Linked DNA regions of Kluyveromyces lactis. The protein of the gene in region 2 purifies or fractionates together with the protein of the main gene of each other region. This does not show direct contact. Links are inferred from orthologs where the notes say so. Each region holds a gene or a part of one and is shown on either strand. Other genes may lie near its edges.

Region 1 (3,765 bases), on a different chromosome or scaffold from region 2:
TTCAATATCCGGAACACTATTTATTGGTGATATTCCTGCAACAGTACTCAACCCTCCACCTGTGGCTCTGAATAAATAACCTAAAATCCAATCTCTATTTGAATATCCATTCAAAAATCTTCCACTAACAACTGATCGGGCGAGAATCATTTCATCTCTTTTGTAAACGACAGGAGAACCAAACAAATAAGCATTTTCTATTATTCCGATAGCACCTTTTTTTGCTAACTCAACTAAACATGAATAAATGACACGAGATCCTAAGGAAAACCCGACTAAGGTAATTGGCCTGTCACCTAAGTTTTTGGCCATAAGCGTATCTGCTAAAACCAGCCCAGCAGCCCACGCCCTGTCAAGTGATACATTCCACGGATTATCAATTAAATATCCCAACTTTGAAAGTATGTTGGGTAGTTGGATAGCAGCCATCAAGGCAGTCAAAACTGTTGCGCCTAAGATTTGTTGAATAGTTTGAGTTACAATTTCACTAGCTAAGATACCCATCGTCTGACCCGTAGATCTTAGCATGTCTGGCTCCCAATACAACGAGTATAAATCACCGTTTATCGGATCTACGGTGCTGAAGGGTAATCTAACATCATCTTCATTACCGTTCATCCAGCCCGAAACCGATAGTATTAGGTTAAGACGTCTGTTATTCTGAAGAGGTCTAAACTCAAAAGTTCTAACACTCCCCATTCTCCTTTTCATAGATGTTGTTCCAATTTTTGCACCAATAGCAGTACTTGACACTGCAACAACTGTTGTACCTCCTACCCCCGTTAAGAAACCTGCGGCACCGGTTACACCGATTGTTGACAATCCCGCAGCAAACCCAGCCCCAATAACTGGCGCAAGTAGACCACCACTCAAACCAAGAACTAAAGAGCCACCAAGAGTTGCTAAACCAATGTAGCACAGTTTTTTTCTCTTGATTGCCTTCCTTCGTTTGTCCATATGGGCTTTTTCATCCCATACCTGATCTTCTGTGCATTGTTCGAGTTCTAATGCTTCTATCACTCTTTTCTCAAATTGGCAGATCTCAAGCGGATCGATATTTAGCACCTTGGCAAAATTAATTAATAATGAACGTGACCTTGCATCATAATGAGAGTCCTGCACTAATAAAAGAAATAAATCACAGATAATGGTCCAAGCAACATCAATGTCCAAACTCTTAGATGTCATTATATTCTCGTCAGTTTTAGATTCCGTTTTTAGTTCAGGTATATCACTTGTTTCTGCCAATGGATTGTCAATATGCTGTGTCACTTTCAAACAATTACATAAATCCGATAGTTCAATCCCGTCGTTTGATAGTCTTGATAACATTTTGATTTCTTCAGGTTCAATTTCCAAATGAGCGTAAAGTCGATTTAATATTAAGCTCCTCCAATGCCCCATATTCTTCTGTAGACTTTGCAACCGTTTCGCAAATTTCTGTTTGGAAGTCATATTATGCGATGATAATGCTATTGAAACCAAACGAGTACACATCTCGTTAACTAGCACAGTAATACATGCAATATATGCAAACTTTTCTTTATCATTTAAAAGATCTTTCGTAATCGATAATTGATCCGTTGTTGTAATATTTTTAGAGCTTATTGCTTCCTCTTCTTCATCATCTTCTGACAGGAACTGGGAATCCGGTGTACCAGATGTTCTACTAAGTGACATAGAAAGAGATGCACTAGATACCGCTAGCTTCTTATGGTTGAACAAAAAATCGGTCCTTTTGTTAGTGAGGTACGATCTCTGTGCTTGCTCCTCACCATCAACCTTGGTATACCCGAAAGTGCTCTTTTGATTTTGAGAAGGTGTACTATGTTCATTTAACGACAGAGTACTTCCTGTTCTATTCATGCCTTCTAACACAAGCTCTCCATTCTCATCATATACATCAAAGGAGGCAACAGTAGTCATTGGCTGCCACTCAAGGGAAGTATCAGAATCCGTAATAGAACCATTTTCATCTTCTTCCCGGATTATCTTCCCGACATTGCCAGTTTCTTGAGACTGCTGCCTTAAATCAACAGAACTATCAGCCTGTCGTACTGCGATCTCCTTGACAGCTTCTTCTCTTTCTTCTTCCGAACCATCGGATTCAGGACTAGAATATATGGTCTGGTTAGGCTCTTCAGCAGCACTTTGTGTCCCAACTGACTCTATCATATCAGCTTTATTGTCTTTCCCATCTTGATTAGAAGTAAGCTTCTTGGTTAGCTTGAGCTCTTTCAAAGCAAACCCAAGGTCCTCTTCACTGTCTTCGTGACACTCAGACATATGACTAACGAAGCTGTTATCCAGTATCTTGTCAGAAACTTTGAATTCTGTTAATAGTCCAATTCTTTCCGCACCCTACAGTCCGATTGTGTAAACACAACACTTTTAGTGCTAATTGAATCGATGCTGTTTTCATGTTCTGAAGCCCTTTAATCTTGATGTCAGGACTGTTCAATGGTGTCCTGATGTTTATAAGAATATTGTCCTTCTGAACCCAGACATATTTTCAAAAAAGAACTGTCAATGAATGACTTCCTATTTCAGCTATTTCGAAGGTTGTTTTTCTTTGGCGAAACCACTTCGATGATCTCGAGATGCATGAAACTTTTCGGCACAATAAACCTTTAACTTGGAAGATTATAGTTACATTTAACATCAACATTATAGCAGTATAGTTTAGTCAAGGCTAAAGAAACCACAAACAACCAATTACAACAATGGCTCCAAATGTATGTACAAGAATGTTGTAAAATCGCTTGTTTTTAGAAGTGAATTGGTTACTATTTGCTAGAATTATAACATCAGAGAATTTGAATATATTTCGTAAAGGATGAAGGACTGTAAACCAACGACTTCCTCTGTATCGTCTCAAACAAGATTTGGATGACAGAAGTTTCTAACAATGGAAAACTCAACTTGGTGGCTATTCTGTTTTTTAATTATTCATCTTTATTCAGCAATTGATGATTGTTAATAGCAGTAGGCTGGTTTATTTTTTTTGTACAAGAGATTGTGTGGACTGCATACCTCATAGCAGCTTCAACAGATCAGTCGACCGATCTGTCTCTAGCTTCAAAGAGTGTATGCTATTCAGTTCACATAGCTTGATTGACAAAGCAATGCCCTCCCTTGGACTTTGATTTACTAACGTTAAAGCCATTCATCAAATTGAACGTTCGAATGTTCTTTTTGATTTGATCTCTATTCATACAGACTGCTAGAAAGCAAAAGATCACCAAGACCTTCACTGTTGACGTTTCCTCTCCAACTGAAAACGGTGTTTTCGATCCAGCTTCTTACGCTAAGTACTTGATCGACCACATCAAGGTTGAAGGTCACGTCGGTAACTTGGGTCAAGCCATCACTGTTGAAGAAGATGGTTCCGTTGTCACCATTGTTTCTACTACCAAGTTCTCTGGTAAGTACTTGAAGTACTTGACCAAGAAGTACTTGAAGAAGAACCAATTGAGAGACTGGATCAGATTTGTTTCTACCAAGACCAACGAATACAAGTTGGCCTTCTACCAAATCACTCCAGAAGATGAAGAAGAAGAAGAAGACGAAGAATAAATTCTTTGATCAAATCAAAAATTTAACTCGTTTCGCTTTCTTTCTTTCTTTTCAATCGCATTTTTGATTTATGCTTGACTGTCGAAGTTTTTACTACTAGAAACTGTTGAGAATGGTTGGAGGCTCTCAAAGCGCTCGACTTATTCGCATGTTTTGTCTCTTATATTAATATATATATAGTTCAACGAC
Region 2 (3,005 bases):
ATGGTATTGAAGCTATGTTAAAGCATTACATCGAAGAAGTAGAGGACGTGGTTCAGATCTTGGATCCTGAGGAGAAGATTGCACTTGCGGAGTTCGAAAAACTTGAGAAGAAGCTGGAGAGCAGTAAGAGATGATTGCAATTGCCCAGTATGTCACTTCTTTCTAGCAATGAAAGAAACGTACAGGCATAACTAAGACTAAGCAAGGAATGAATCATGACAGCATGTATTTGCAAGGTATTATGCAAAACAGAAGTACACTATTATTTATTTATTTAATACATTCTATTTATCCCCTATTAGGATGCCCTTCTTGGGATCGATTTGTTTGATGTATTTTTCAATCCGAGAAGCCATCATGATATCAGCATCGGAAATACCAGATACATCATGCGTAGTGAGTCTGAACTGAACTCTGTTGTAGGTAGTAGTAATTGTAGGATGATGGCCCCATAAGTGTGACCTCATGGCAACTTTGTTCAAAAAACTCCATGTCTCTTCAAAATCTCTGAACTTATAATCTCTAACCAATTCATTCTCCATTAATCTCCATTTAGGCAATTTTCTGAGTTCTTGTGTCAGAAGTTTTGGTGGCAACAGCACTGGTACCTGTTTTACTATCTTATTGTACATGTCTATACTATTCAGTGCTTGAAGAGTGGCATTTATTACCTTTTCCAGCATCTCTCTATGCGTAGTTGATAGAATTCCAAGATGTAAGAAATCTTTATTAACTAAAAATATTGAGAAGAAACAAAACACAAGAAGCACCATTTTATCAAAAGTGCTTTGAACAAACACCTTCAAAGCCATTTATTCTAGCATATATAGTAACTGCAAACCTAACCGAGACCTGAAGTAAATTTAGAGTGCCGAGTTAACTATCAACTGATGGTCAAATCAGCCTTGTCATAATGTCATCATGTTTCCTTTTGCTCGATGAGACGTATGAACCGCTAATAAGAAGAGCACTACGACCGATCCATTTCCTTGATGATGCTATACTTCAATTACAGAATAACCTTAAACATCATAAGGGATGCACAAAACCTATATTCGAAGGCAATGGGTGGCATTACGCTGTGATAACTCGTGATAACCTATATTTCGCTATGATAATGCAAGTGAATAATAGTGTTTCTCCCATAAGTGTGTTACATTACTTAGATGAAATCTACCAGTTATGCAGGAAATTTATGGGCATGAAGCTTAACAAGCTCAATGTACGAGATAACTTCCATTTAATTTTCGAAGTTATTGAGGAATCATCCGATTATGGTATCATACAGGTTACAAACTATAATATTATACATGATTTCATAAAGGTAGAAGTTATCAAACCCGACGATGATTCCGAGAATACAGCCTCTGAAAAACATGAGCTGCCACCAGGTGACCAGGATGAAACATTCATAAACAGTTATATTCTTCGAACGATGACATCTGCTGTCTCATGGCGTCCTAAGGGTATCCATTACGGTAAGAACGAATTCTTTCTTGATGTAATTGAGAAATTAGAATTCATTATGGATTTCGAGGAAGGTGTGGTCAGAAATAATGTAATCAACGGAACAATAATATGCCGGAGTTATTTGTCTGGTATGCCTCAATTGAGTATAGGATTGAATAAGTTGATGCAGAAGAATGTACACTTCATGAAACGTTTAAAATTCCATGAATGCGTAGACCTGCATACCTTAATCAAGGAAGAATCTCCAGTTATTAAGTTTATTCCACCGGATGGAGAATTTGAGCTTTGTAATTATAAATTGAATAGACCGCTACTTGATGAACCAGTTATAAAACTACAGTCATTCGGGCTATCCCAAAAACCTAGAAAGAACCAAGAAACCCAGGATAAGCTATTGTTGAAAGCTGCCATAACTACGCATTTCAAAGCTCAGGATAGTGCAAAGGAGCTTTTAATTAAAATTCCGATAAAGTCAGTTATTCGAAAGTGGAATATTGACCTCGAAAAGCCGCCCCTGTTTAAAAGCGATATAGGAGATGTTGTGTTCGACATAACAGCGGGTTCGATAATTTGGAAAATTAACAATTTGAAGGGTGGTCATGGAAACAAGAATTATGGGCTTAAATGCATGTTTGAAATATGGGACCGCCAGATTCATGAAGCTTTAGAGGTGCAGCTACGAAATTCCATGGACCCACCACCTTTAAGGACTGGCCCCAAACTAGAGAGAATTTGGGATCAGTACCATGGAAAAACTACGGAATATGATGGCAATGAGAACCAAAAAGAAGATGTAGACAAGTTCGCGTTAATTGCTATGTCGTTTGAAATCCCTTATTATGCAGTGAGCGGTTTAAAAGTTGAGTATTTCAAGATCGAAGAACCTCAATTAAACTACCAATCTTTCCCATGGGTTAGATACAAGACAGTCAATGATAACGAATATATATACCAGGTTTCCATTTAGTTAAAATTACCAAACTATATAGAGAAAAAGAATAGATTCTTTTCCCGTCAGATAGATAATTACGTGAGATCGTCGGCTATTTCTTTCAAAAGAGCAACTTTGCCTTTGAGGTCTGCTTCTCTCTCGGCATACGAAATCTCCCAATTATGCAACAGTAGTTGTTTGTTGCTTTCAATTCCTATCCTGCATTCCTCCCTAATCTGTAATTGGAATTGCTTTAACATGGAATACCAGGTATCCTTTACACGTTTCAGGCCTAAAACAATACCTAACGAAGATAATGCTCCCATCGAGTAGGCTGTACATAACTCTGTTACAAATCCTCCAATGGAAACAGCTATTAGTGGGAATTGCAACTGTAAGAAATTCAAGTAAACTGCCTTATTAATTTCTTTGTGTAAAACAGGTACTTTGTTCCTAGCATAATCAGGGTCTATAATGGATAGCTTATCCTGAGGTATGCCTAAAGATCCATAAATATGTGATAAATTTTGAACCATTTGAAGATCATTCGTAATGTTACAAAGTTCGTGTAATTTCAACGATAATTTGGATTCGGAATATGTGT

What was found.
Region 1: the proteins of APM2 (region 2) and MIL1 purify together in Saccharomyces cerevisiae (affinity purification with mass spectrometry; 3 studies listed by BioGRID, with this or other methods). This does not show direct contact. The link is inferred for Kluyveromyces lactis from reciprocal best matches to the Saccharomyces cerevisiae genes APM2 and MIL1.

The regions. Positions count from the first base shown.
Region 1 is NC_006040.1:444,180-447,944, forward strand, and holds the start of MIL1 (Mil1p), read right to left. Parts: upstream 2,287-3,765; coding exon 1-2,286. Other genes in the region: KLLA0_D05181g (60S ribosomal protein eL22), read left to right, coding at 2,724-2,735, 3,220-3,576. UniProt on the Saccharomyces cerevisiae protein: Probable lipase that recruits the AP-1-related (AP-1R) complex to membranes via interaction with APM2. The AP-1R complex is an adapter protein complex that mediates of cargo protein SNC1 sorting in clathrin-coated vesicles.
Region 2 is NC_006042.1:2,364,866-2,367,870, reverse strand, and holds APM2 (Apm2p), read left to right. Parts: upstream 1-913; coding exon 914-2,437; downstream 2,438-3,005. Other genes in the region: NFU1 (Nfu1p), read left to right, coding at 1-134; MCO14 (4a-hydroxytetrahydrobiopterin dehydratase), read right to left, coding at 285-812; KLLA0_F25410g (uncharacterized protein), read right to left, coding at 2,497-3,005. UniProt on the Saccharomyces cerevisiae protein: Component of the AP-1-related (AP-1R) complex, an adapter protein complex that mediates of cargo protein sorting in clathrin-coated vesicles. AP-1R has a specific role in SNARE SNC1 sorting.